Linked DNA regions of Xenopus tropicalis. The protein of the gene in region 1 purifies or fractionates together with the protein of each later gene. This does not show direct contact. Links are inferred from orthologs where the notes say so. Each region holds a gene or a part of one and is shown on either strand. Other genes may lie near its edges. The genes, in order: dhx9, hnrnpr, adar, ddx17, ddx5, hnrnpab and ncbp1.

What was found.
Region 2: the proteins of dhx9 (region 1) and hnrnpr fractionate together in Homo sapiens (co-fractionation; 3 studies listed by BioGRID and IntAct, with this or other methods). This does not show direct contact. The link is inferred for Xenopus tropicalis from reciprocal best matches to the Homo sapiens genes DHX9 and HNRNPR.
Region 3: the proteins of dhx9 (region 1) and adar purify together in Homo sapiens (affinity purification with western blotting; 3 studies listed by BioGRID and IntAct, with this or other methods). This does not show direct contact. The link is inferred for Xenopus tropicalis from reciprocal best matches to the Homo sapiens genes DHX9 and ADAR.
Region 4: the proteins of dhx9 (region 1) and ddx17 fractionate together in Homo sapiens (co-fractionation; 3 studies listed by BioGRID and IntAct, with this or other methods). This does not show direct contact. The link is inferred for Xenopus tropicalis from reciprocal best matches to the Homo sapiens genes DHX9 and DDX17.
Region 5: the proteins of dhx9 (region 1) and ddx5 fractionate together in Homo sapiens (co-fractionation; 3 studies listed by BioGRID and IntAct, with this or other methods). This does not show direct contact. The link is inferred for Xenopus tropicalis from reciprocal best matches to the Homo sapiens genes DHX9 and DDX5.
Region 6: the proteins of dhx9 (region 1) and hnrnpab purify together in Homo sapiens (affinity purification with mass spectrometry; 3 studies listed by BioGRID and IntAct, with this or other methods). This does not show direct contact. The link is inferred for Xenopus tropicalis from reciprocal best matches to the Homo sapiens genes DHX9 and HNRNPAB.
Region 7: the proteins of dhx9 (region 1) and ncbp1 purify together in Homo sapiens (co-immunoprecipitation; 3 studies listed by BioGRID and IntAct, with this or other methods). This does not show direct contact. The link is inferred for Xenopus tropicalis from reciprocal best matches to the Homo sapiens genes DHX9 and NCBP1.

The regions. Positions count from the first base shown.
Region 1 is NC_030680.2:100,157,554-100,161,494, reverse strand, and holds part of dhx9 (ATP-dependent RNA helicase A), read left to right. Parts: intron 1-515; coding exon 516-562; intron 563-642; coding exon 643-779; intron 780-1,002; coding exon 1,003-1,092; intron 1,093-1,175; coding exon 1,176-1,337; intron 1,338-1,431; coding exon 1,432-1,506; intron 1,507-1,697; coding exon 1,698-1,889; intron 1,890-1,980; coding exon 1,981-2,122; intron 2,123-2,201; coding exon 2,202-2,284; intron 2,285-3,941. UniProt on the Homo sapiens protein: Multifunctional ATP-dependent nucleic acid helicase that unwinds DNA and RNA in a 3' to 5' direction and that plays important roles in many processes, such as DNA replication, transcriptional activation, post-transcriptional RNA regulation, mRNA translation and RNA-mediated gene silencing.
Region 2 is NC_030678.2:82,773,035-82,777,626, reverse strand, and holds the start of hnrnpr (heterogeneous nuclear ribonucleoprotein R), read left to right. Parts: upstream 1-1,602; 5' UTR 1,603-1,800; intron 1,801-4,592. UniProt on the Homo sapiens protein: Component of ribonucleosomes, which are complexes of at least 20 other different heterogeneous nuclear ribonucleoproteins (hnRNP). hnRNP play an important role in processing of precursor mRNA in the nucleus.
Region 3 is NC_030684.2:142,282,829-142,286,769, forward strand, and holds part of adar (double-stranded RNA-specific adenosine deaminase), read left to right. Parts: intron 1-472; coding exon 473-608; intron 609-1,687; coding exon 1,688-1,902; intron 1,903-2,096; coding exon 2,097-2,250; intron 2,251-3,693; coding exon 3,694-3,865; intron 3,866-3,941. UniProt on the Homo sapiens protein: Catalyzes the hydrolytic deamination of adenosine to inosine in double-stranded RNA (dsRNA) referred to as A-to-I RNA editing.
Region 4 is NC_030680.2:120,510,302-120,514,997, forward strand, and holds the start of ddx17 (probable ATP-dependent RNA helicase DDX17), read left to right. Parts: upstream 1-1,655; 5' UTR 1,656-1,797; coding exon 1,798-1,832; intron 1,833-4,225; coding exon 4,226-4,364; intron 4,365-4,559; coding exon 4,560-4,656; intron 4,657-4,696. UniProt on the Homo sapiens protein: As an RNA helicase, unwinds RNA and alters RNA structures through ATP binding and hydrolysis.
Region 5 is NC_030686.2:51,537,186-51,540,506, reverse strand, and holds part of ddx5 (probable ATP-dependent RNA helicase DDX5), read right to left. Parts: intron 3,303-3,321; coding exon 3,140-3,302; intron 2,741-3,139; coding exon 2,644-2,740; intron 2,568-2,643; coding exon 2,434-2,567; intron 2,353-2,433; coding exon 2,287-2,352; intron 1,607-2,286; coding exon 1,465-1,606; intron 1,387-1,464; coding exon 1,226-1,386; intron 824-1,225; coding exon 651-823; intron 412-650; coding exon 301-411; intron 145-300; coding exon 83-144; intron 2-82; coding exon 1-1. UniProt on the Homo sapiens protein: Involved in the alternative regulation of pre-mRNA splicing; its RNA helicase activity is necessary for increasing tau exon 10 inclusion and occurs in a RBM4-dependent manner. Binds to the tau pre-mRNA in the stem-loop region downstream of exon 10.
Region 6 is NC_030679.2:31,076,379-31,080,881, forward strand, and holds the start of hnrnpab (heterogeneous nuclear ribonucleoprotein A/B), read left to right. Parts: upstream 1-1,587; 5' UTR 1,588-1,604; intron 1,605-2,005; 5' UTR 2,006-2,032; coding exon 2,033-2,187; coding exon of another isoform or gene 2,188-2,226; intron 2,227-4,503. UniProt on the Homo sapiens protein: Binds single-stranded RNA. Has a high affinity for G-rich and U-rich regions of hnRNA. Also binds to APOB mRNA transcripts around the RNA editing site.
Region 7 is NC_030677.2:107,420,162-107,424,102, forward strand, and holds part of ncbp1 (nuclear cap-binding protein subunit 1), read left to right. Parts: intron 1-410; coding exon 411-518; intron 519-2,892; coding exon 2,893-3,014; intron 3,015-3,173; coding exon 3,174-3,243; intron 3,244-3,941. UniProt on the Homo sapiens protein: Component of the cap-binding complex (CBC), which binds cotranscriptionally to the 5'-cap of pre-mRNAs and is involved in various processes such as pre-mRNA splicing, translation regulation, nonsense-mediated mRNA decay, RNA-mediated gene silencing (RNAi) by microRNAs (miRNAs) and mRNA export.

The DNA.
Region 1 (3,941 bases):
ATAAACCATTCCTCCAGCTTTAATATTTGGACCTTGTACTCTGGATTACAATAAGATAACTATCTAGAACAGGATTGTCACAGTTGGAAATCTTTGTTTGGACATGCTGACAAATGTAATTTACCATCTGTAAACATAATTCAGTATCATGCATGTTCACCGCCAGCAGTGGAAACACAGATAGAGGCCAGAAGCAACCAGTTCTTTTGTGTGCAGTATATGAATGGCATCAGCCTGTCATTGTGTACATGAACATTTTCTGCAAAAATCAGCTCCCATTTGCACAGTGACAGGCTGATGCTATTCATATCACTAGCCACACAGTGGAAATAGTGTATTGGCATTTTCTTTGCCAGCAAGAAACAGCATTGTGTGCCAGAGATGGAATATATGATGTTTTAGGCTGGAACTCTTCTTTATCTGTGCTTTTTCGGTGACTCCCTAACAAGGTGAATAAATGTGTTACGTTTAGGTCTGTACATGCTTTCCTAACACTCTAATAAATGTTTTGGCAGGAGCTTTATTGCAGAAATGACCCTGTATGTTAAGCAGCTTGGAAGAAGTAAGTTCCCCAACTAAATATGCCATATGTATAGAAGGCATCTACCTTTGTACTCTCTAAACCTTTTGTTTAATATTCAGGAATCACGGCAAGAGAACATGGATCTAATAAGAAATTGGCGGCACAATCTTGTGCCCTTTCAATTGTCCGTCAGCTGTATCATCTAAGTGTAATTGAACCATACTCAGGACTGACAAAGAAAAAGGAAGGGGAGGCTGTAAGTTCCTTGTAGATAACCATCTGCATTGTAAATATTGTTTTTTGTTATCTTTGGATTATAATTGTCTCAAATGCAAAGTTTGTGGGTAATCTTAATTGTGATTCATATAATTAACTTAATTTCATTAGGAATACCCCAAAAACATTCTGAAACAAACAGATGCTGCTGCTTCTAAAAATGCTGTTATTACTAAGATGATACTAATGTTTCTGTCTGGCAGGTGGAACCTTATCAAGTGAACTTAAATCCTGATGTGGTGAAACAGCTGCAGAGTACTATTCAGGAGCTAGGAATTGAGTTACCATATCCAGTAAGTGTTTTGTAGTGTGCGTTTTTTTTCCCCTTTCCCTTTTTTGCTTGTTTTAATATAATTGCTGTGTTTTTCCATAATAGCCCCAGGATCCTAGCCAACCTGTGTCCCTTAATTTGGGAAAACTGGTACACTTTGAGCCTTCACAGAAGCAGAGTCACTCTGGTGTGGTGCCATGGTCTCCCCCACAGGAAAACTGGAACCCATGGACAAGCAGCAACATTGATGAAGGACCTCTGGCATTTGTAAGTTTTGTAGTTTCAGAAAAATAAAATGGTTGAATTTGCCTTCTTTTGGGTTAAATTTTTAAAGTTACATTGGCATCTACTTTCTTTAAAGGCTCCCCAGGAGCAGATCAGTGCAGAATTAAAGAATGAACACATGTATCACATGCAAGATCCTAACATGAAACAGGTTGGTTGATTCAGTTTCTAGACTATGCAAAAGTTTTTATAATTGTGGCTTTTGCTAAGCCTAGCACCACTATTTTTTCTGAATGTTTACAGTGCTCAAGACTGAACTGTAAAAACATTTGTAATCTATAATGTATTCAATGGTGTTTTAATATGTATTCTTTCAGTGAGTTCTTGCCTTTCACTTTTTAGGTCTTGATTGATCGAGAGTCTCTTCCTGTTAAGAAATTTGAGGAGGAAATAATGCATGCTGTGCATAACAGCCCTGTTGTAATCATCCGTGGAGCAACAGGCTGTGGTAAAACTACACAGGTCCCACAATACATTCTGGATGAATGTATTCGCAATGATCGTGCAGCGCAGTGTAATATTGTGGTTACACAGGTATAGTTCTGGAAATCAATTCTATGTTACTTAAACATAAAATAACATAAATGATGCAGTGGGTAGTGAGGTCTTTTTTCCTTTTCTATAGCCTAGAAGGATCAGTGCAGTATCTGTTGCAGAACGTGTTGCTTTTGAAAGAGGGGAAGAGATTGGAAAAAGCTGTGGCTACAGTGTGCGTTTTGAATCTGTTCTTCCCCGTCCGCATGCCAGTATGCTTTTCTGCACTGTGGGTACGTATTGCTTAATAATGATGGTTTTCCTTGTACAGTTAATTTATTTTTCTCTTGACAATATTATTAATATTTTCAGGAGTCCTTTTGAGGAAACTGGAGGCTGGGATAAGAGGAATTAGCCATGTGATTGTGGATGAAATTCATGAGCGTGACATTAATGTAAGTTACTCATTAAAAATAATTGAAAGGTTGCTTGGCTATGTTGATCTAACTATAACATTTTAGTTAAAGACTAAATTTTCCCCTTCCCACTTAGGACCCTCAGGCTGAGTAGCCATCTCATGCCTATGTTAATTATTTATCTCTACCACTGTTCAACAATATCCTAAGAAATATTAGTATAGTGTATTAGAAAAAAAAATATCCAAGAAATATGCTACTTTGTTTGCTGCAGGTTTTTTAAGAAATGTTCTGTCTACATTTATTGTAAAAGATTTTCAGTTTTAAGGCCAGCTGTCCCTTTAATATCTATTGGCAGAAGTTAACTCTTATAGTAGAGTATTTATAGAGGCCTTACTCCGTACTGATGCTACTGCATAAGGAATATAGTGTAAAGAATTCACATCAATATTTATATACTTTTGTATATGTTTTATTACTACAAGTCTAAAGGACATGTGAACCCCAAAAATAATTTTTTGCCTAATAAGAGAAAACATAATTCTAAGAAACTTTCCAATATCAATTAATTAAAAAATATTAGTGCTTTAAAAGTTATTTGTAAATATAATTGCTATAGAAAGCAGCATTTGCTGAACTCCTGGTTGTTACTTTTGAAACATTATTACAAGTGCCAGGCTCCTCCAGCAAGGCAGGTCTGTAAAATCTGCTTGCGTTTGTTACATTGTTTCAGTCGCCAGAGCACCCAAGGCACAGAATGGAATTAATAGCAGTTATGTTTCCCCTGACACTTTAGTAACAGTTATCTATACAAATAACTAAAAAAAAAACCATTACAGATATGTAATAAATATATATTGCAAAGTTGCTTAGAATTAAGTTTTCTTTTATTAGGCAATTTTTTTTTTTTCGGGTTGACAAGTCCTTAAAGCTTTATGTTACATTAAACCTTCCCCAAAAGCACCTTTATAAAAAAAAAACTGATTATTTGGCTGTCAGGTTAATGGCACACTGTGCACTTTCTCTGCCCGTGACGCAAACACTGATGCTGCCCCACCCCACCTCTGCGCAGCAACAGGCATGGTTTCACCTTGTATCATTACTTTTAGCGCAGTCTATGTCTAGCATGGATAGACTTTTTTTAATGTACACCTCAAGCATTTGAAATGGTACTTGAATTACTTGGTCACAGATAGACAAAACATGGTATTAGCCTGCAAAAAACTAAAAACCTGCTGTGAACTTCACAATAAAGGTGTTTACAGGCTAATATAGCTTTATGTCAAAAGTTCTTTATCTTTTTTTTTTTTTTAGATCAGCTCCAATGATAGGTAGATTTGTTGCAGGGTATCTAGTTGTTATGCACCCATCCCAGTGGTTCTAGTCACTTACCTTCTGGTGGTCTACTTTGCCATAAAATGCGCTTGCCTGGGATATTAGGGAGGGAGCACAATCTCTTTTGGCTACATTCAGCTGAATGCATGTGTGGTAGAGTAAAATCAAAATGTATAAGTTAACCTTTACTATGCATGCACACATGCCTGGTATCAGAGAAGGAATTGCAAGGAAGGCAGCCATGGCAGTGACAATGGGAAGGTAGCAAGATTGCAGCTCCCTGACACCTGTATTGCTAAAAGTGGTAGATATCAGAATACCACTTAATAGTAAAAATTCCAAGTCCAGCTTAGGACTCCTC
Region 2 (4,592 bases), on another chromosome or scaffold:
CTTGTCTCTAACACTATGGGGCACATTTACTAATCCACGAACGTCCGAAAAGCGTCCGAATGCGTTTTTTTCGTAATGATCGGTAGCCGTTACGACTTTTTCGTAAAAAAGTAATTGATTACTTTTTTCGTAATTGTAGCGTTACGACTTGCGAGAATTGTCGCGACTTTTTCGTAGCCGTCGCGCTGAGTACAAAAGTTTCGGATTCATTCAAGCTTCAGTATCGTGACTTTCCTTGGGCCAGTTTGGTGCTGCAGAGTGCCATTGAGTCCTATGGGAGGCTTCCAAAATCATGCAAAGTCTGAAAGATTTGCCCGCCGTTTACGAGCGCTCAATACAAAAAAGTCGTGACAATATACGAGCAAATCATAACGGCTACGAAAAAGTCACTACAATTCGCACAAGTCGTAACGGCTACGAAAAAGTCGTAACGGCGACGAAAAAATCGCAAAAAATACGAAAAAGTCGCAAAGTGTTCGTTTCCAATCCGAATTTTTCCCATTCGGATTCGTGGATTAGTAAATGTGCCCCTATGTTTTGTATTTATATTTTATTATTATATTGACATCTGTCTTTTCTCCTAATATTAGGTATAGTGATGCAGGGCACAAGTAACCCTATATAACTAAACATATTCATATAAATATACATCCATATAAATTGTAAATATTACTCATGAATGCACAGAATGTAGTTTTCAAATTCCACCCCTTTTGTGTCACAATTAGCAAATTTTGTATTATTGTTATTATGGGCTAGGCCTGGATTTTGATCACCAGCCCTGGAATTACTGGAACTGACTAATATGACTGCAGACACTGCACAGAGATCATTGTGAGTGATATTAATAGCTATATCTATAAACAGCGCTTACTAATGTAATGTGATAACCTGTGTCACGTTCCTCTGTGAAACTTGTGTATAACAAGCACTGTTCCCTCTGTTGTAAATGTACTGCTTTTAGCAACAGCATTTGGGGTCTCTTATTTGAAAACCCAATGCCCAGAAAAGCTCCACATTATGAGGCCATCTTGATTTTCATTACATTACTTTAAACCCAGGTCCCAAGCTTTCCGGGTAATAGAGCCCATACTGGTATTTATGATATATGAACAACAAAAATGCAATTACACTGCATCACTGCTTGTGAAAGTTGTGGTATATGCAGAGTAGAAATGTCAACGCTGCGAACACTGACTCTCCTTGGCAGCTTTGGTGTTTTACACCCATACATATAACCGTGCCTTTCATCTTTTCATCTAAGCTGTACCCGAATGTACTGCAAGTGCGCATATTTGTACGTACATATATATGTATGCATATGTGTGTGTAAACGAAACTGGACTTAAACATGCAGCACAGACATTATATTGGTACATGCGATATATATTAATCGGTCCAAACAATAGCTCATTGAAAGCCAGCAGCATTGTCTTCCACCCCGAAAAGCTTCACATCCCATTCCTTTCCATCCTTAGCCATCCCAGAGGCAGCTATTTCATTAGCTACAAACTCTCTCGCAATCACCAATCCGAACCACTTCTTTCATAAGTCTGCCATTGCCTATTATGTACTCCGCTTCCCAATTGGCTGAGGTGTAACGCCTTCCCTCCCGCTTATTCGTCTCCTCCTACCCGCAATAGGCTAGTCCTTGGCAGCTGGTGGTGTGGACCCCGCGGCCAGTATTGTTGATTGGCTTAGTAGGGATAGAGAAGGCGGTGGTTCGCAGTCCGTGAGGCGCGCCATTTTACTAGCTCACTGTAACAGCGGGCGTGAGGCAAGAGGGCCATAGCTCTGCAGGTGAGTAGGCTTCCTCTGTTCTCGTTGCGTACGCTTCTGAGCGTCCGGCCACGGTTTCCGCAAAGCTGTAATGTTTGAACCTGAATAGCAGCCAAGTATGACAACCTTCGCCGCCATTGTACTTGTCCTTTTTGCGTTTTAAATTGGAGTAGATGTAAAACTGTATGAACAGTTAGGTGTGTATTCCGCAGTAATGAATACTATCCTTCAGACCTCAATAAAAAAAATCACTGCAAAACAATGTATAATGCTAATGGAATTCCGGAAAAAATATGGAATGGTTAAATGTTCATTGTAGCTTGTTTGAAGGTGTATGCCATTCATTTTAAATGGGCAGCATCTATTGTGTTCAGTGTATGTAGAGGTCCATGACTTGGGTGCTGAATTGCGTTAGGGCACTAACATAGTAAACGGGCTAGTTTTTATGGGCTGTCATTTATTGCATTTGTTAATATATGTGCCCTTTATACTCTTATTTATATTGCATAGTGTGCAATGTTATGTAACTCATAGCTATTGAAAATGTAGTTTCCAGCTTTGTTGGACAGGGCTTTGATATGTGAGGTTTTGCAGCAGCTGTAGAGACACAGTTTAGTCTCTTCTGGCTTGGCACTTGGAATCGGTGTCAGTTTCTAATTGTACAGTTAATTAATTAGTAGCAATTAAAATGATGCGTTAAAATGAAAGTGTTTTTTGTTCTCACTATAAAGGGAGCTAAGCTCCAGTAACCGTTTTGTGTTGTGATTTACCTATCGGTAATGTGGCAAGGAATTTTGCCATAACTTTTGATTGTTTATGGTGGTTGTTTTCTAAACAAAGTAAATTAGTTGTCAGTTGAGAGACCCTGACTGCCTATGGGCGCATGACACAACTGCCTGACATTGTTTAATTTAATATGCTCGCTGAAAATGTACTATAGTGGATAACAGGCGCACAAGTTGGACTCCGTTGGTTAAATGTAAATACATACAGATCTTAAATGGTTCTTATATGTTGCTTCCCCTGCAATTTTGTCAACATAACAAAAAGCCGAGTTGCATTCTAAGATAACTTGATGTTGATCCTCATTTCTTATCTTATTTTTTCCCCAGTTCTGGTGCTCATTTTGAACTATTTGATGCTAAGATCACAGTCCTTTAAAAGCACACCATCAACCCTAAAAAAAATTTAACACATGGAAACTGTATCTAGTGTTTAAGTGATTGGGGTTTAAGCAATTATCTTATTAAAAACCCAGTGATTGTAATTGTTCACCTGCCTGGGTCTCTGGTCAGGTAGGCCCATTGGAGTGCCCCATGGGCAGATAAGCTACCAACTTGGACTATAGGAGCTGAATCAGAAGCCAAAATCTGCCCATGTATGGCTGCCTTTAGTCAATGGATTGAAGATTGTAGAGGCAGGATTAGTAGCCCTTTTCTTTATTACTATATACATTTTTACAGGCTGGGGAGATAAGAAAAATGATGCCTATACTTTATTCAAATGGGATAAGGGCAAAGACACACAGAACTACTTAGTAGCAGCTACTTGTCACCGCTACTAAATGCCAGAAAATACCCTACCATAGACAATACTGAGAATTGCATCTGCTAAACACTCGTAGAGAGGATTATCAGTAAATGTCTGTTTTTGTAGCAGTGACAAGTAGCTGCTACTAGTAGCTCCATATTGCTTCATCTAAAGTGCTGTCAACTTAGCTAATATAGTACCTGTAAGAAATGCTTGGTATTTTACCTACCAAATTAAAATGCTGTTGTGTAGTTATCCCTAGCAGAAGGAATTCTGGGAAGGAAGCCCAGGATTGCTCTTAATTTCTATACCCTATCCTTACCCACTGGGTTTATAAAGCACTGCCAAGACAGTAGGCTGACTGGATTTCTACCCTGGCTGTGCTTTAAAACCCAGTGGTGAGTTTCTGTCTATAGGGTGTGAAATGGAGTTTCCTTTACAAAAAATTCCTTCTGCTTTGCATATGGATGAGGACATCTCTTCTCAATCAAAATTTTTTTTTTAGTAGCTGTTCCGAGTAATATCAGATTTGGTTTCTTGAAAGGGGCTTTTGAAGAGTAGGGAGGTTATGAGAGGTGTTTAGGAATGGCCTGACCATCCTCATACATTGGCAGCATACACGCGGTAATTACGATTTTTCCCACAACCATTGGGCATATGAAAGATTTTTCATCCTCTCTAGTAACGTTAAGAGCTGAATCGTCAGGTATGCAGGTAAAAACAGAGAAATTATTTACCCCATCTGACAATTTAGCATTAACTTTACAATGTTCAGGCCCCTTCAAAATTTTCAGTCCTTGGTGAGACAACTGATATCCAAGGCTTTTACCAGTAGCGGTCGCCTTGTCTCCCACTGTGCGCACACCGATTATCGTACAAAACTTTGTTTCATATGATAATATCTGTGCGTGTATGACAACCTTAAATCTGCAGGTTGAGTTAAGTTTTCATACCCCACTCCACATTCCATACCCCACTGCAACTAATTTGTACAGGATTTCCATTAGTCTTCTACAAGTAAAGTAATAAAAGTAACTCTTTACCTGAATCAGTCATGGTTGCTGTGGTTTACTGCAGTAGTGCATATTTGCCGAGGACATGAAAGTAGTGGAATTGCAACATGTATATGCCTAGGTCTTAGTCTGGCTCATTAATGCTTTTATTTGCCCATTGACACTTTGCACTGAAAAAAAACACTAGAATACTGAAATAAGCATTTCTTAATGATCCATGTCTGTTACCACCAGCACCTGCTATAGGCAGAGCATTTGCCAGTCTTTTTA
Region 3 (3,941 bases), on another chromosome or scaffold:
TTAAATATGTGAATTATTTGATTAAAATGGAGTCTTTGGGAGATGGGCTTTCGGTAATTTGGAACTTTCTGCATAATGGGTTTCCGGATAAGTGGTCCGATACCTGTACTACATTCATTATATAAATCTTGTTTCCCTCGGGCTTGCCAGTACACAATCACGGCTTTGCATCATTCCAAAATCTTGTTTATACTGCACTATCTGAAGTGCTGAATGGAAAGCGAAAGTAATTTCCTGCCCCTATGCCTGAAGCATAGAGGCGGGGAAGGCAATATATGATTGACAGCTCAGATTTTCCTTCCTCTTCTAACTCATTCCAGCTTTCAAATAGGGGGGGTCACTGACCCCGGCAGTCAAAATCAGATTTTTATTCATGGATTCGATAGCCAATCGGTGTCTTTAATTGGTGGGAACTATTTGAGTGGACTGATCTGTGCTTTGCCTGTGCTTATACTGTGCTGCTTATATGTAGGTTCACTTATACTGTAAGGATTGGAAACCAGACCTTCCCTCCTGTAGTGGCTAACAGCAAGAAGATGGCCAAACAGCTAGCCGCCGAGGCTGCTGTGAGGGAGCTCCTGGGAGACAGCGTGCTGCTGCCTGACAAGGTAAACAAACCAGACAGACTTGAGAAATTCTACCTCTTATACTTGGGTATCCAGCTTTTACATTCATAATGGCACTTTACTATTTAGAGTTTCTATATTAAAGGGGTAGAAATGAACCTTTAGTTTGTTTATAAGATGGCCAGTTCTTAGCAACTTTTCAGTTGGTCGTCATTTTTTTCTTGTGATGGTTTCTAAATTATTAGTTTTTTTCTTCCAACCGTTTCCAGCATTCAATGACCCCAGAAACCCACAAACTATTGTTCTGAGAAGCTGCAATTTTATTACTTTTCTTTCTATTCAGGCCCTCTCCTACTCATATTCCAGTGCTTGGTTGCCATGGTAATTTGGACCCTAGCAACACAATAGCTACTGAACAAAACACAATAGCTACTGAACAAAACACAAAATGAAGACCAGCTGCAAATTGTTTCAGAATATCACTCTCTACATCCTACAAAAAGTTAATTCATAGGTGAACAACCCCTTTAAAGGGGAACTGCAACCAAAATTTGTTGAAGAGCCCCGCACAACTGAAAAACCCCTAATATACCTATCGTTTTAATCTGTTCCTTCATAAAAAGTAGGAATAAATACCATTATTATGTGCAGAAATCCAGCTGTAAAACAGGTATTCACCTTCTGCATCATTTGAAATCCTGGCAGGGGAGGAGGGACTAAAACACTGATGTTACAAATTGTAACGACTCCACAGCTACATAACCCACAATGCATTGCACTGGGATGTTCCTTTCCTTATTACCATCACATGTGCAGGGAATTGTGGGATTTGGGGATGCAGGCTGAGGACAGTCAACTGTTAGATTATTATTTTTTTTTTGAGTTTCAAGATCAACAGGGGTTGTTGCTTAGGGAACTGTTCCTAACCATATAATTACATTAAAAAGCATTAAATGGCTGCATGTTTTTTAATTGAAGAAAAAATGTTTGGGGGGAGTTCCCCTTTAACTCTGCTCCTGATTGCTAGGATCATTGTTTGCCCTTCAAACGTACGATTAGATAGGTGCCCCAGCCAGGGCGTGGTGTGACAAAGCCAACGTATCTCCTCTTTTGCCTTTTAGTTGGAGCCCAGTTTCCATCCCAACCCAACAGAGTTCCCTGCAGTCCCCGAACTCTCTGTGGAAGATCTGAAAATGGCCCAGGCGTCCAGCGTCGGGGACTTGATCAAATATCTCAATGCCAACCCGGTCAGTGGCCTTCTGGAGTACGCTCGTGCCAAGGGGTTTGCCGCTGAGTTTAAAATGGTCAACCAAACTGGACCCCCCCATGACCCCAAGTAGGTGAACCCTTGACTAACTGAAGCTGATGATATTATTGGTCAATGATAGCGAATAATTAGTCGAGCCCTGACCCACTTTCTCCCTACAAGCCCTGTCTCGAATTCCTATGATCCCTTTAGTTTTTGGTTTAATAGGCCTCATCCAATCAACAGGGACCTATCATTTTCTCACATCTGTCTTTGCCTCTCAGGTTTGTGTTTCAAGCAAAGGTCGGCGGTCGCTGGTTCCCAGCTGTCAGCGCCTCTAACAAGAAACAGGCCAAGGCAGAAGCTGCCGACGCGGCACTGAGGGTCCTAATCGGCGAAGCGGAAAGGGCGGCTCGGGAAGGGGACGTCATGACGGAGGTAGGTAGCCCCGAGAGAATGTGGTAGGGGCGACAGAGGGAGCTAAGCTTAAATAATTTGATGCAGAAAACTGATTCTAAGCAACTTTTCAATTGCTCTTCATTATTTATTGTTTATAGTTTTTGAATTATTTGCCACCTTCTTCCAGTTCTTTGCAGTTTTTAAATGGGGGTCACTGACCCCGGCAGCCAAAACCTATTGTGAGGCTCCAGTTTTATTGTTCCTTTTTCTAACTTTCTTTTCTATTCAGTCCCTTTCCTATTCATATAACAGTCTCTTATCCAAACCACTTCATGATTGCTAAGGTACATTGGACCCTAGTAACCAAATAGCTGCTGAAACTCCAGGCTGGAGAGCTCCTGAACTAAAAACGAAATAACTAAAAAACTACTACAGGTAATAAAAAAAAAAAAAAATGAAGACCAATGGCAAAATGTCAAGGTATATTATTTTCTACATGATACTAAAGTTAACTCAAATGTGAACAACTCCTTTCACCTTCAACCCAAGTTTTAGTAAAATGTAGAGAGCGCTATTCTGAGACAATTTGCAATTGGTCTTCATTTTTTATTTGTGGTTTCTGAATTATTTGGCTTTTTCTGCAGCAGCTCTCCAGTTTGGAATTTCAGCAGCTAGGGTTCAAATTACCCTGGCAACCAGGCTTTGATTGGAACGAAAGACTGGAATATTAATAGGCGATAGCCTGACTACATAGGAAAGTGATAAAATGTAACAATAACAATACAACTGGAGCCTCACAGAGCAATAGGGTTTGGCTGCCGGGGTCAGTGACCCCCATTTGAAAGCTGCAAACAGAAGAAAAAGGCAAATAATTCATAAACTATACAAAATAAATAATGAAGACCAATTGAAAAGTTGCTTAGAATTAGCCATTCTAAAAGCTTAATTAAAGGTGAACCACCCCTTTAAAATCATGTGACTTTTTGTCACGTAAACCCGGAAGTCGAAGTTTTTTCACTGTGCGGTTCTCTTTAATCCTTCCTTATCGGTTCGGCCAAATCTTTTGCAAAGGATTGGGGGGGGGGGTTCGGCCGGATCCTAAAACAGTAGATTCGGTGCATCCCCAATGGGTCCTTAGTGGTCCTCTGAGCACTTTCACAGTTGACATTAATTCCAGATATTAGCAGTTTTAGACTTCTAATATCAGACTTTTTGGTAATGTAATAAATCGTCTTATGTTTGCACCTTGCCTAGGAACGTATTGCAGCCAATCAGCAGGTAGTATTTACTGGTCACCTTTTGGAAATCAAGATTGGTATATATATATATATATATATATATATATATATATATATATATATATATATATATATAATACCAATTATAATGCTCTGAAAGTTGGCTTCTGTAGGCTTAGCTTTATTCCCAGCCAATGAAACTTGTCAGTTTTGCCTAAGCGTCTCCCTTGTATCTGTCCTGCAGCTCCCGGTGAGCGGAAGTACTTTCCACGACCAGATTGCCATGCTTAGTCACCAGAAGTTCAACAGCCTTACAGCCCGAATCCAGAACAGTCTGCTGGGCAGAAAGATCCTAGCTGCTATTATCATGAAGAAGAGCAGTGATGACTTGGGCACCGTGGTCAGCATCGGCACTGGTAGGTACCTCTCACCTTTCTCCTGCCGTTAGTATCCCTCCTCATTCTGTACCCCCTACAGCAGTCTCTCCGTGTC
Region 4 (4,696 bases), about 20 Mb from region 1:
GGTTGGAGCTGCAGAGTGCCATTGAGCCCTATGGAGACTTTCCTTGGGCCAGGTTGGAGCTGCAGAGTGCCATTGAGCCCTATGGGAGACTTTCCTTGGGCCAGGTTGGAGCTGCAGAGTGCCATTGAGTCCTATGGGAGGCTTCCAAAATCATGCAAAGTCTGAAAGTTTTGGCCGCCGTTTCCGAACACTCAATACGAAAAAGTTGCGTCAATATACGAGCAAATCGTAATGGCTACGAAAAAGTTGTGACAATTCGCGCAAGTCGTAACGGCTACAAAAAAGTCGTAACGGCGACTAAAAAATCGCATAAAATATGAAAAAGTCGCAAAATGTTTGTTTCCAATCCGAATTTTTCCCATTCGGATTCGTGGATTAGTAAATGTGCCCCATTGTCTGTGCCTCCCATATGAACTACATTGGGTTGCTCAGTAAGGGCTCTGGCACACGGGGAGATTAGTCGCCCGCGACAAAACTCCCTGTTCGCGGGCGACTAATCTCCCCGAGTTGCCTTCACCTGCCATCCCACCAGCGACAATGTAAGTTGTGAAGGCAACTCGGGGAGATTAGTCGCCCGCGAACAGGGAGTTTTGCCGCGGGCGATTAATCTCCCCGTGTGCCAGAGCCATAAGTGGGGAAAGCTGCCTGGCTGGCAGAGAGAGACTGGGAATTTATGAAACAGATTTGCCGGTTTCTCCCACTATTTAGCAGATTTAGAATGATATTCAAAATAAGCCCTATGGCATCCAATTTTCATTAGTATCTTAGTCATAAAGTATTACAGATTTGTCCTTATGAGAAGAAGAAGGGCAATAACAATTTTATTTGGCAACACCAAGGGGTTGCGCCTCTGCCATGCAGTGCTGGGGTCCTGAGTTCAGTCCCGGACAGGGTGCTTCCTGCATGAAATTCTTGCATTAGTTCTTCTGTACCCCCACTTACCCCATCCTCCAAACACATACAGGCACTTAACTGGCTTCTGAATAAACTGAGCACAGTGTGTGTGAATGTGATAGGTACCTTAGATAGTTAACTCTGCTGGGGCTGGGCCTCATACATAAATATTTATTAAGCACCTTGGAGATATTTCAACACTTTATATGTATAGACCAATAAATAAAAAATAAACTTCCCTGTTCAAAACTACTACTTACTATAACGCATACTAAACACACTGTTCTCAAGACACGAAAACATTTTCTGACGCTTTAGTCCAATTATTTGCAAAAATTGCAAATGGAAGAACCTAATATACACTCAAACGGGGCATAGCTTTGTTTTATTAGTCAATGAGGGTCTACGTTTCCAGACGCCCAGCATTATTCACTTGCTTGTCTAGAAACTGCAAGTCGATAACAGGTAACACCAACAATAAACATCGCTTCCCGTCTCAAAAAGCAGGTCTCCAAAGCAGCCACGCCTTCTATTCCTCTGATTGGCCAGTTGAGATGTCACGCCTTGCCATCACACCATTTTCCAAAACAACAGGGTGAGATGCGTCACAGGAGGCTGGTCGCTATTCTCTATTATCTGTACGCAAGTGGTAGTGAAAAGGCCATTTATACAGGCGGTCCTTGCGCCCGTATTGCGTAAAGTCTCCATTTCAAGAAATCTTAAGAGAGCGGAAAAGAACTCGGACGCCATTTTGCGTGTTGCTCAGTTTTAGAGCACATCAGCTGTTAACTTTCACTAAGGAACCCTGCCTTTGGATACTGTTTAAGCAGCGTTGCAACGCCCAGGGTTTAGAAGGTTGAACGGTGTCCCAGTGTCTCTTTGGTTATACGAGCAGATTTCAAAATGAGGGGAAGTTTTATGGATCGCGACCGAGGCGGGTGAGCGTTGTTTTGATACGGGCATTTAGCTGCACATTTAGGACGGCGAGGCATTGAGCACTGCATAAATAATATAAGGTTTGATAAGCACATCAAGCTCCGAAGCATTGGCTGAAAATGCGCACTGTTCTCAAGAGGTATCGGGTTTGTTGACGCAGTATAGCGTTGTTTTTGCGATCTGCGCCGGAGCGGAGCGACACAAAGGCACATAGGTGCGACAGCTGCCTCTCACGGTTGGTGGGAGCTGGAATTCGCCAGGAGTTGAAGCGCAGTTTTCCCACCCATTCCTTGCAGTGCTGTGTCCGCCATTACGTGTAAAAGCCTCTGTTTTATTTCAAGGGTAGCCGTGAGCTGAGCGCCATTTAGTTATTTATAGAGTACATAGACTTGCATTCCTCCTGCCCCCTGTGCAACGTGTATAAATAAAGTTTAATTCCCAGTTCTCTATACAGGACATATATTAATTGGGGGCAATAATAAACCCTGAGAATAGGGAAATGATCCCACCTCACACACAGTTTTGCAGGGCCCCCACCAGTAACCTGCACCTTCAGCACAAACCCATGGGCAGATATATTTTTTGTCTGTGCATAATTAGTAGGAATGTATTTCTAGGTGCTTATTATCCATTCACTTTGGATACTGTCTTGTTTTTCATTATATCAATTAATGTTTCTGTCCTTGCTGACCCCCCTTCCTTTCCACTACACCAGTGGCCTCAAAGCAGGTGCCCATTTTTGCATTTCTGACTTGAAGTTGAAGTTTTGGAGGCATAAAGGCCATGTGAACTGCTACAGAGAGCCTTCTGTAGGCTGCTTGTCCACATTGGGCTACCAAATAACCAATCACAACCCTATGGGCTACCAAATAACCAACCACAACCCTATTGGTCACCCCTAGGAACTTTTTTTCATGATTGAGTTGCTTCCCAACTGTTTAATAATTATATGTTGCTCACAGCTAAAAAGGTTGGGGACCCCTGCACTACACTCTAAAGGCTGTGACACACGGGGAGATAAGTCACTATGCGACAAATACTCCATGTCACAGGCGAGTAATCTCCCTGAAATGCCATCCCACTGGCTAGAAGGTAAGGCTGATGCCACACAAGGCGTTTTTTCTCTCGGCGGCTGAAAAACGCCCGATATCATCATCCATAGAATTAACTTAAAAAGACTCGAAGCAAACCACACAATGCGGGAATACACTAGAAAACGCCTTAGCATGGATTTTTCAAGCATTTGCCAAAATACGCCAGTATTTGCACAGCAAGCTATTCCTATTTATACACAAAGACAGCTGCCAGACCTAGTGGAAATACACGGCGTTTTTTACTATTTCACACTATTAGCACCATGGAAACGGGATTTGCTACGTCTCCAGTACTAAGCTGAAAAACGCCATAGTCAGGGGCTGTGTGGCTTGTGCGGCGTTTTGAGGCTGAGAAAAAACGCCACGTGTGGCATCAGCCTAAATCGCCTGTGAGATGGCATATGTGGCACTGCGATTTGCCAAAGTTTCCTTGAGAGAAACTTCGGCAAATCACAGCGCCACGTATGCCACCCCACCGGCGATTTACATTCTTGCTGGTGGGATGGCATTTTGGGGAGATAAGTCGCCCGTGATAAGGAAGATGTGTCGCTCGGCAAATACTGTATATACTCGAGTATAAGCCTAGTTTTTCAGCACCCAAAATGTGCTGAAAAAGGTCACCCTCGGCTTATACTCGAGTCGGTTGCCATGGGTCCCTCCAGACCAGCACCCTCTGTCCTTTGTGTGCAAATTAGGCCCCCCCCGCAACCAGACCCTCCAGTGCCCTGGCCCGTCCCAAATTCATCTTCATCTATCATCCTTACCTGTCCTATTCTGCACTAGACATTGCAATTTATATTCTATATAAACTATACATAGTTTTGAAGGATTTTAACTCTTTGTGTTTTAGCTTGGTTGCTGATTGAGCTAGTTTACTGTATTTCTTTTAAATAAATATTTAAAAACATACCCCACTGATGCCTCCATTAATGTAATTTTATTGGTATTTATTTTGATTATTGAAACTTAGCAGTAGCTGCTGCATTTCCCACCCTAGGCTTATACTCGAGTCAATACGTTTTTCCAGTTTTCTTAGGTAAAACTAGGTACCTCGGCTTATACTCGGATCGGCTTATACTCGGATCGGCTTATACTCGAGTATATACGGTAATCTCCCCATGTGTCAGAGCCCTAACAGCAGTCAGCCCCTTGGGATTGTTCACTAAGCATCAGCTTTTTTGTTTCCAACTGGGGATGTATACATTTTTTATATGATGTAATGAATAGCTTTAGGTTATAATATTCAAAAAGTGCTAAAAAAGTCTCCTGATATACTTTGTTTTTATTTTTTGGATGACTAGTGGTGCTGGTATGTCACGCTTTCCAAAATTTGGAAACCCCGGGGAGCGTCTCCGGAAGAAACGCTGGGATCTGAGTGAGCTGCCAAAGTTCGAAAAGAATTTCTATACAGAACACCCCGAAGTGGCACGCATGACACAGGTGAGTCTGGATGAGCCCCTTCTGTTTTTATGACCATAGGCATGTTTGGGCACCCATGATTTTCTTTTAACGTACCATGGCGGTCAAAATACATGTCTCCACATGCAGCTTGTTATGGTTTGTTTTTTTTTCTATGGGAAAGCTCTACTTTTTACCTGTTTACAAAAATCTCTTGCAATTATTCTTTTTCTCTAGCATGATGTGGAGGAGCTCCGTAGGAAGAAAGAAATTACTATCCGTGGTGTAAACTGCCCTAAACCTATATATGGTTTCCATCAGGCCAATTTTCCACGTAAGTTTTTAATATTATTGCCTAGAACTTTTGCAAAATG
Region 5 (3,321 bases), on another chromosome or scaffold:
TCTGCAAGGATGGAACACAGTTTTAGGAAATGCAAAGAACCTATAATTGCCAGCTTAGCAATAATGTGCACAGCTTGCCTACCATTTAAGACCCAGTCACGTTCCTGCTGGCTCTTATCACCATGGATTCCCATTGCAGGCCACCTGTAAGTACAAAACATTCCCCTCATCATGAAAGAAAACACTTTCCATAAAGCACCAGCATCTGGAGTTTAAACAGGCCCCTCCCCATTTTCAATATTAAAGAGACATAGAATGGAAGTGCAATAGCGCTCATGGAAAGTTTGAAATCATCCTTACCCATCCCTCCTCAACCTGCGAGTCAAGTCATCACATCGCCTCTTGGTCTCAACAAACACTATGGTCTTATTTTCTTTTTCACTCATAATTTCCTCCATCAAACGAACAAGCCTTAAAGAAAAGATGCAATTCATAAATCCAGCATCAACAGGTCAACGTTTCAGTTAGCATAAGGCCGTGCTATGTTAAAGTAATGCCTTAGGGCAGCCAAAATGCTATTCTAACCTTCATGGCTAACTGCAGCCTGGCACTGCTACAATGTGTAACCACAGCTGGTAATGGACAAGTTAGCCAGATGAGAGAGTGGTGAGTGGGAATTAGAAAAAGTTTACACATTAATACAAACTCACTTTTCATCCTTCTCCCCATCATTACACACATCAACAATCTGAAGGATATTGTGGTTGGCACTGAGCTCCAGGGCACCAATGTTAATATGAACATAATCTCTGAGGAAGTCTTCAGCAAGTTGCCTGACTTCTTTGGGCCAAGTGGCACTCCACATCAGCGTCTGTCTGTCAGGCTAGAAACAAAACAAGCAGTAAGTATCCCACACAGTTGGAATGACCATAGGAACATAGGAGACATCCTATAAAAATATACCAGTGATTCATTCTCCTAGATATGGAAGGATTGCATTTGTGTTTTGGACTTAGTGAGAAATTCCACCAATATACCAGTAGTCCCCCCGCCCATCTGTTCCACTTCCTGCTGACTGAATTCTCTGAATGTGCAGGGGAGCCGGCAGCTCCCAGTACACTGCACTGTAGGATAGGAACCAATCAGCAGCTAGGCTGACCTGATATGGAACTGAAGCCTGGCTTGTGCGAGTGCAGGGCTGCGATTGGTTTTCCCTAGTACTGTGCTTCTGGCTGGGACTGTTAGGCATTTATCCTAGGTCTCCTTTAAGCAAAGCTGCACTTACTCGAATTTGATCCACTATCTTTCTGATCTGAGGCTCAAAGCCCATGTCAAGCATCCGGTCAGCTTCATCCAGCACTAGATATGTGCATCTGTTCAGATTGGTCTTTCCTGCTTCAAGGAAATCTATCAGCCTTCCGGGTGTAGCAATGCAGATTTCAACTCCTAAAGAAACAGCATTGTTTAGAACCATAGCAAATGGGAGATATCAAGGTACACAGGACATATTGTGAGATGTCTCACCTCTTTCTAGATCACGTATCTGTGGTCCCTTTGGAGCTCCCCCATAAATACAGGTGGACCTCAAACGACAAGCTCTCCCATACTCAGCTGCCACTTGTTGAACCTGTTGAGCCAATTCCCTGGTTGGTGCCAGCACCAAAAGCTGTAAGGAAACATGTTAGATTATGGTTTATGTCTTTACAGAAATCTCTGGAAATAGAGATGTGGTTCTGAAATCTATTCCCACCAGATTGTAAAAGGTACATGCAGAGTTCTATTCTTGGAGAAAGCACTGCACTGTTCTAAAGCTGCAGATATTCTGACAGACTGCATGGTTTTGGATTTGTATGAAGGGCTAGCAATGTTGCTCTAGATTCTGTTCTTTTCCAGAGCCTGTGATGCAGATCTATTTTCTCCATCTTGATCACTGACAAAGCAAGAACCCTAGCACCCCACAGGTTTGTATAGTCTCACCCCAGCCTAACAATTTGTGGCATTTTGTCAACATATTTAGGGGTAAGCACTGTATAACTTCAATTAACCTGAATGCAGTACCAAGTGAATTCACTATACAAATACCAACAGAACCTATTCATTTCTGCCAAGTATAGAATAGCAGCAATCCACCGACACAATTTACTTGATTGCTACTACATGGGATATTAAGCTTAGACCTGCAATTCAATCACCTTAATTAGGGGGTGACTGTTGCTCAGAGAAAGCTGTGCTTTTATAAAGTTCTGGTCAGTAAGATTGTTACAGTCTAACCCCATTGCCAAGCCATCCCTAAATACACCATGCCCTCAGAGAAGGTTTCAGATGTTCTGCAGTAAGCCTACTTACAATTGGACCATCTCCTCGCTGTAGGAATGGCTGATGGTTGATATGGACAATCCCAGGAAGTAGATACTGCAAACAAGATGTAAAGGGTTAACTTACTAACATTTGCACATGTGCCAGCATGAACAGCATCACCAGCCTAGTACTTACAGAAAGGGTCTTTCCGGATCCAGTCATTGCAACACCAACCATATCCAGCCCACTCAGAGCCACTGGCCATCCCTGCCCTTGAATAGGAGTGGGGTCAGTGAAGTTCTGCCGTTTAACCACTTCCATGAGATTGGCTATAGGGAGACAGAGCGGTCAGGCCGATTCCAACACAACATAAAGAGCTGCAGAGATGAGGGGCAGGGGATTTACCTGGGAAACTTGCTTCATGGAACTGCAAAACTGGCTTTGGACAGTTAAGCCCTCGTACGGTGATCTCTTTGCTTCTTCTGTATTGGTCACATTCTTGCTGCAAAACAAAGTCCATATTGGATTTAGTAATCTGAGCAACCCCCCTGGCCATTTCAGTTAGATAGTGTAGTGGCCCAATGAACACTCATTTATTTACTATAATTACAGGGGTCTAGAGCACCCAAATCTCTCCATAAGGAATGTCCCAGGTAAATATCCACCCTATCCAACAGCAGCAGGACAGGACAAAGCACTGATCTCCATAGCAATCATTTACAATACATAATAACCACCCGTGCTAGCCAGCCAGGCAGTTTCTATGAAAAGATGGTGCCATACACCTAGGGCACAGCCCATGTTAGCTGAAACATACAATAAGAAGCCTTCCTAATGTGCAGATAGCTGTGAGAGGTACCCAGTGCCAAGCTGGTTCATCCCAATCAGGCAGCAAACTCACCGGTGTCCGTCTCACAACATCTGGATGTTCTTGATAGAAATTCTTCTCAAATTTGGGCAGTTCATCCAGGTTCCATTTCTTCTTCATAAGCCGCTCCCCAGGGTTTCCATATTTGCCAGATGTACCACCTCGGTTTCCCCCAAAGCGAGGACCACCTCCAAATCTGAATATAAGACAAAAGG
Region 6 (4,503 bases), on another chromosome or scaffold:
TCTTGCCATCAGCTGAAAAACATGAACCTATATGCAATATGCCAATGACTAAGACGTGGAAATTTTGGGGAGAAAAGGAAATTAAAATGTCTAGGACAGTAGGAAAGGACAGAAAAGCCACACAACTGCTTATTTATATCCCCAGGGTTATTCACATAAGGCCGGTGGCAATTAAATGGGAACAGAGATGCCAGCCCTGATCAGTGCGCACATTAGCTCCGCCCTTGCTCCCCAATTGTGCTGCAGGGACCAGTGAGAATTTTAGGTGACAATTCTACATCACGCACTTATGATTCCTGTACAAATTACTGTCAGTGTCTGGCAAGCCGGTGACTGTGGGCAACCAGGAGGGGGGGGGGACTCACTGGGCTGATGCTCTAATCATTTTTTGGGGCTAAATCTAGTCACGCAAGAGCAAATGGAAAGTGGCAGGTATATATGTATATCTTTATTTTTAAAGCGCTGTACAGTAGAATACATTAATACAAATAGGGGGTTATTAAGATAATAATAAATACAAAGTATTACAATAAATACAAATAAATACAAGATACAGTTGCAATAAGAGTCAAAGACACAAGAAGATGGAGGTCCTTGCCCCATAGAGCTTACAATCTATATCTAAATCTATAATCTAAATATGTGGATTTGGTTCTCCTTATTTGAGGTGGCAGGGTAAAAAAAAGGCAAAATTCTGCTCTACTTCTTTTCCTTATGCAAAGTAGAGCAGAATTTTGCCTTTTTTTTTACCCTGCCACCTGAAATACAGAGAACCAAATATAAATATTTAGATTATAGATATAGGTTGTAAGATCTATGTATATATATATATATGGATTTGAGCAATAGCGCTGTATATATATATATATATATATATATATACACACACACACATATTTGGATTTGAGCAATAGCGCTGTATAGAGGAGACTATAAGCTGGCAGGGGCAGCTGAGCTCCATTATAGGGGCCGCCGCGCATCCCATCTGTTGAGGAGCACAGCCCCCCGTGTAATCCCCCCTCCCCCACTCACGCTGTTGGGTTACAGCATTCTCTATGTGCAATCTCTTGGCATTTAATCACACCTAAACTCAGAATCTCCCATAGAAAAAAAAAATGTCCGCTAAGAGTTTTCAAGCAGCATTTCGTCAGTTTTACAGTATTTTTATTGCAATTTCCTCCCTGACCCCATTAAGGACAAAACAGGGCCGATCATAAAAACAAGGGAAACACTGGGCGAGCCGAAAGATTACGCCCGGCGGTTGCGATGAAGCTTCGATAAAAGGAATTTGTTTCCTCTCCGCGAAGTAAATACACAACCAAAACCATAGCCGATTTGGGGGAATCTACGAACTATGATGGCGTTCATGTAGAACGACTCGTAAAGAAGAGATCGCGATGTTTAGATGAGCTCACAGGCACCGCCCCTCCTCGGACACAACGCACCAATCGCGCCTGCTGATCAATACAATGGCTGTGGCGCACTAGCCAATCAGAGTAGGTTGTGTTTCGGGGTGCGGCGATCCGGCTTCTATAAAGGTAGCCACGAGTTGGCATTGTTGGGAGAGTCCATCTTGGAGGAATTTGGCGATTGTTGGCGCTTGTGTAAGAACGGGGAAAATGTTGGGGTTGTGCGTGGGATTTATGGAGCTTAGGGGCCAGTGGGGTTTTTCCCGTTTGTTATTGTGTAGGCAATATGGCGGGCGCGGTGATGGGTGGCTGTTCCCTTAGTTGCGATGGGGTAAATGGCTTATTGGAATCCCGCTCGATTTTCTTTTGTACCCCGCTAGGCATTTAGCCCCTATCGGGCTGCACTATGTGCCACTTGGGCTTATTGTTGGCTCAGGGAGCTGAGTGGATGCGCAATAGAGTATTATGGGGTAGATGTGCTTATTAGTGGGGCCTGCGGGGTTAGCAGCGACTGTCGGCCTGTGTGCCCGGGGCCTAGCGGCTCCTACTTTACTTTTCCCGGGATTCACTCTCTCTCTCTCCGCTTTCCCTCCCAGCCTTTCAGTGCATAGAAACCCCTCACAATGTCCGATACCGAGCAGCAACAGTACATGGAAACTGGCACCGAGAACGGGCACGAAGCGTGCGATGCTGAGGCCGCGGAGAGTAAGGTGCCCGGGGGCCAGAACGGCGCGGAAGGCGATCAGATCAATGCCAGCAAAGGCGAGGAGGACGCAGGGTGCGTACCTGATATTTCTTCCCCTTTAACTGAAGGAGTGTAAGTTAATTTCATCTATCTTTCATATTTCTCTGGGGCTGGGGGGATTGTATCGGCGCTTCCTTTGTTCCGCTGCCGCCTTGGCGCCATTGCCTGTGTGTGCTGGGGGGGGGGGGTTACTCATCGGCCGATAACTTTATATATACGCATAGTCCCTCTGCACCGTTCTATTTGCGCACTTATCCTCTAGGCAGGATTATTTTCTACCAGGAAGACTGTGATAAAGCTTATCAGGGCCACTGCAGATACACAGTCCATCTGAGGCTTTGTGCGACTGCAGAGTGGTGCTTTTTGTCAGCTCCTTATGCCCCATGCAGGAGATGCTGCAGCCATGGCAACTAAATAGAAACACTACTGTAACTACTCACTGTTGCCCCTGTAACTACTCACTGTTGCCCCTGTAACTACTCACTATTTTTACTGCTGTCTGCAGCCTGTTATGCCATTCTGGCTACTGCATCTTTACACATTCCATCAGGGTTGCCTGCTGAATCTATTGGTTTCACTTTCCACTTTGGGCCAATGTTCAGTCATAGCCTTGTTATAAGATTGTTGGGTCAGTTACCCTACAAATTCTGGCAAAGTTGATCCTTAATCACCCCCCCCCTGTTTCAGACTGCTTTTGGAGGGGACTAAATGTTGTCCTTGTATAACCTCTTTATTCCACAGGATTCTACCTATTTTTTACAGCACAACACTGGTTATTTATAGTGGCTTCCTACAGCAATAAGGGATCAGGGGCTCTGCTCTCAAGAGCTTTCAATCTGAATAGATGTGTTTTATACAGAATCTGCCCCTGCTTCTGAAATGAGTGATCGACTGTCCTGTTTACACTGGGAGTAGGAATCCACTCTGAGACCAGTTTGCAGGGGCATGTAGCCTAAACTTGTAATTTCATGCTTTGGGACCATGTATATTTTTTTCATTGACTATGCAGTGAAACACATTGTCACCTTCAGCACTTGGGTGGCAGGGCAACAGTTGATCTGTTTATAGATTACAAATTTCTCTTGGAAAATTTTAAGCAACTAATTCTAAACTTTCCAATCATTAATTACAAATTTGTATTTTTTTGAGAATTGCTGCTATTAAAAGCATTACCTCTGTCATTTTCTGTTCTCACCTGATGGTTTGGCAGTGTAGCAGAGATTGGACTGGTAACAGATCTGTAATAAAGCATGTAGGGGCAACACTTGTTATGTTATAACAGTGCAGAAGGTGGCAAATGTACTGTGTTCAGTTACTATTATCAAATGGTATAATTTGGAGATTGTAATTCTAATGAACTTTAAAATGTTACTTTTCTTTTAGGCTAAAATGTGGTGTTTTGGCTTTACATCCTGCTTGAAGGAAAAAAATAGATATTCTTTATGCAATATCCTTAGACTTGCACTGTACAGGAAATGAGTTAAAAACAATATACACCCCCTTGTTCAGAATTTCCATCAGTGTCTTGTGCTAAACACTTTCCTATTAAGTCATGGTTTTTGTTTAATCTCACTGTTAAGTGCAAGAAATTTACCCCACACAAGGGGCAACTTCTCATTTTTTCATTTTTAGCAAAAATTAGTCTGGCATTCTTTGCCAGTAGATGTGCAGGCTTTTTGGGGTTTTGTCTAAATCAACTGCCCCATATCAGATTTTGGCATGGTTTGTATGACCCAGCTGTTCTAATTCAAGACCAAATTAGCAATTCTATTTAAACCTATTGCCAGTTAAATTGGGGTATTGGGTCAGAGCCTGTCAGGATGGCCCAATATGAAGTAGTGCTAATGTAGAGCTATTCAGGGCAAGTGCTAGGAATCTAGGAGAGCAGTTAGGTGGCTACTAAATCCTTGTTGGTGATCGTGCTGCTCTGGTTTTCACCACTGCCTCTTTACTTTACTTTAAACAAAAAATGCATTTGCCCACTTATACTATTTAAAGTACAGTCCCCGCTTTACTAGGATAGTGCAAATGTAGCTAAGGCACATGTGCTGTATACAGAAGATGTATTTGCCTTACAAATCTGATGTTGTGTGATGGGTATTTTATTTTTACAATTCTGTTTATCTAAATCTGACTCTTTTTGTACATTGCTTTAATGGACTGCCAGTATAACTATGCAATGTTTTATTCCTAACGCATGTATCTCTCTTTTTACCCTGTTTGTATAAAATGTTGCTTTGGGATCCACAAACCAGGAGTAATGTCTGCCAGGGGTACACTAGTATTAAGGGACTCGGTCAGTGCTCCTTAGCAGGTTTACATTGTAAGCCTTGGTTTGAGTCTTTCACT
Region 7 (3,941 bases), on another chromosome or scaffold:
GATTAATCAAGCTACTAATTCAGCCCGATGGATCTGACTGCCATCACACAATATGGAGGTATACATTAGGCCTTTGAAAAAAAATCTTGCATGCTAGTGGAATCTATGCTTCCAGGTAGCATTTTGACAAACTGAAAAATCTTTTGCAGTCGAGAATGTGAAATAATTCAGCCCATTAATTGATTTGATTGCAGTTGTTTTTGGATGCAGTATACAGTCAGTCACAACTGAAGAAGGCACTCTGAGTTTTCTTGAAACCGTTTCACCACTCAAAGTTTAGTTTTAGACTTAATTCTACTAAAAACTGTAGTCACTACGTTCATATTTGCTTGGTACTGTGTGAGGTAAAAATGTTTTGAAAAGTTACAAATTCATTTTTTCCTCTTGTATTCCAATGACTCCACTTATAGGTTCGTTTTCTTTGTGACCTTGTAAATTGCCATGTAATCGCAGCTCCATCAATGGTAGCCATGTTTGAAAGCTTTGTTGGAGTCACTCAGGAAGAAGATATTCCCCAGGTAAGTTTGAAACACCAGCAAAAGAAGGCAATATACATATGAAGAGACAGTGATTAAAATAAAAATGTAAAATTAGGCCATAAAATATCCCTAATGTGTTTCATGCCTGTTGGGGCACTTGTAATTTAATTACCAATGTGTTTTGTGCCTGTTGGGGCATTTACTCAAATGCTAGTCTATTATTTTTGTTTACGTTAAGGGATGCCTTTGGATAATGACAATTTTGGACAATTACACCATTCCTATTCTTTAAATAGCTTTACTTTATAGTGTATATCTTTGTTTTTGGTCTGTTTAAACACAGTATTCAGTATACATATGAGTTCAAAAAGACTGCCTGCATAATTGATTTATTTTAAGAAAATGATTTGTACCCTAAAGAAAGCCTATAGAAACTGTTTTCTACTGATATAATTAAAAATATTTTCTTTTGTTTCTTCATACTTTGGACAGTTGCAAAACTGCAAGTGTTGGAAATGTACGCAAATGTTGCCTAAAGAAGCCAATCTGCCACTTTATACACAAAAAGAGTTTTGCCTATACTCATAGTGCACTTGTCATTAGTGATGTATGGGTTGACCCGAAACCCACAGTTTAACTTGCTGGTGGGGTGGGTTTGGATTTAGATTTGGGTGACCATTGCAGGTTCAGGTTGGGAGCAGGTCAGACTGGTGAAGTACACTCCTGCTCCCAGAGGCATGCACAGAAAAAGCATACAGAGTTGGAAGATGCGGGTGGTATGGGTTGGGTGCGGGTCCTACAATGGCAGTATTTTGTGGGTTAGGGTCTGGTATGGATTGAGTTTTTTCTGACCAACACACAGGGCTGTCGAGTCGGTACATAAATTCTTCGACTCCAACTCCTCAGTTTATGGTACCTACAACTCCTCTGAACACCAAAAAATGAGAGCAAAAAATTAATATATTATATTCTTTTGCTCTACACTGGTAAAAGTTGTGTTTGTTTCAAATCTCTACTATTGTTTATATAAACAAATGTGCTGTGGGGGTAACTATTCAGATTGAAAAAGGCCCTTGTTACATAGCAGAAAACAGATAAATTGTGTAGATTGCTATTGTATTCTGCAGAGTGTATCTGTTATCTGCTATGTAACCTGTGTCTGTCTTCTTTTTATCCAGCTTGAAAGGCTGACCCCGTGGCTACAAAGCAGCTTTGTTTATATAAACTATACAAGTCTTTCTGAAGCAAACATGACCCTTTTACCAGTGCAGGGCAAAAGTAGATGACATTTTAATTCCTTTAAAACATTTTTATTTTTTTGGTTACTGTTTCTTTAATATACTAATGTATTTCCATGTTGCTTGAAAGAACTAAACATACAAGACACTTCATCACTGCCAAAGCTCATCAGCTTTAAAGCTATATCAAGATGGTGTCTTCTTTTAAGAACAAACCAAAGAACTACTGGCTAGGAAGCTGATGCACTAACCTACTGGCCATCCAAGCCTGGCACTGCCAACATGGATGAGGATACTGTTCAAGTTTGGGTCTAATCTATAACTAAGCCTATGTCATTGTGGCTTTTTGCTTTATTAAAGAAACTACAAACATTCCTTAAACCTAAAGTTTAAACAGAAGACAAATATGAATACAATAAGCTTCTAAAAGCTCTGCTGGACTTCACCCTAGTGAAACGGCTATGCACTGGGCTATATTCTTACAGCAGAGAAGTACAGGTATGGGACCTGTTATCCAGAATGCTCGGGACCTGGGGTTTTCCGGATAAGGGATCTTTCCGTAATTTGGATCTCCATAACTTAAGTCTGCTAAAATTCATTTAAATATTGAATAAACCCAATAGGATTGTTCTGCCTCCAGTAAGGGTTAATTATACCTTAATTGGGATCAAGTACAAGGCACTGTTTTATTATTACAGAGAAAAAAAGAAATCATTTTTAAAAATTGGAATTATTTGCTTATAATGGAGTCTATGGGAGATGGCCTTTCCGTAATTCAGAACTTTCTGGATAACGGGTTTCCGGATAAGGGATCCCTTACCTGTACTTTATTATGACTATTATCTTGGAAATAGGACATTGTAACATATTGATTTTTTTTTTTTTCATTACAATTTAAATTTGTTAGGTGTTGGAGTCGGTACATTTTTGCCAACTCCAGGTACCCAAAATTGCTTCTGACTCCACAGCTCTGCCCACACATTACTACTTGTCATATATCCAAAATTAGCTGGAGTTAGGGTTATTAAATTAACCCTTTCAAACTGAATTCACACCTTCTTTTAGAATCTTACTGCAAAATGAAATATAAGAATGCTTTGATTACCTCTCTAATGTGACTCTCAAGCATGTGGTCAGAGCCATTGTGTAGTTTAAACCCATTATTTTAATTGCAGGTGCGAAGTGACTGGTATGTATATGCTGTTCTTTCTTCACTGCCATGGGTTGGAAAAGAATTATATGAGAAAAAAGATGTTGAGATGGACCGTATTTTATCCCAAATTGAAGCTTACCTGAAGTGAGTTATTTCCCAGTTCTTGTTGTGTATTTGTATTCTCTAAATTGAGCCCACAAGTTTTGGCTTGTGCTAATCATAGCCTATAAGGTTTTATGTATGTACAGTCAGTGTTTATTTTTTAAAAAAACGAAAACTAAGATTTTATTTTCCACCCTTAAGGCAACGTCAAAAGCTCCATGTATCTATTCTACAAGTATGGTCAGCAGAAAAACCACACCCACAGGAAGAGGTAAGTTCTTGTCTTTTAATGCATTCTTTTAAATATATAATATATACACAAAGGATGGCACACCGCTACATAACATACCTCGGGTGCTCGGTAAAGGGTTCCAATAGTCCCCGATGGGGACCGAAACGTTACGTCGGCTGTTTATGCTACTTTGAATATATGTTTTGATTTTTCACAAGAAATCCCGGAGTTGCTGGTCTTTTTTTATTATATATATATGTATATATATATGTATATATATATGTATATATATGTATGTATATATATATGTATATATATATGTATATATATGTATGTATATATATGTATGTATATATATGTATATATATATATGTATATATATATATATATATATATATGTATATTAAAATTTAGTGGCCTGCATTTTTTCTTCAGATGCCTAATAACTTACCATTGCAGGCTTTAAAGGGCACCTATTATCTACAAATTGTTTCCCCAACTGGAGATGCAGCCATATTTTAGTCTCTAGGCTCATTCTTTATTCACATATATGTGATGCTACACGAGCATAACATCGATACAAGTGTGCGGACCAAGCCAAAGCTGGGAAGCTGTTGTTAATGTCCCAACATGGCCACCTGCACCAGGAGATCCCGGTGGGTGACTAAGCATTTAGTGGGGTCAGGGGAACATTTTTTGTATGGTAGGTGGCCTTTAATGTTTAATGGATGCTTGTA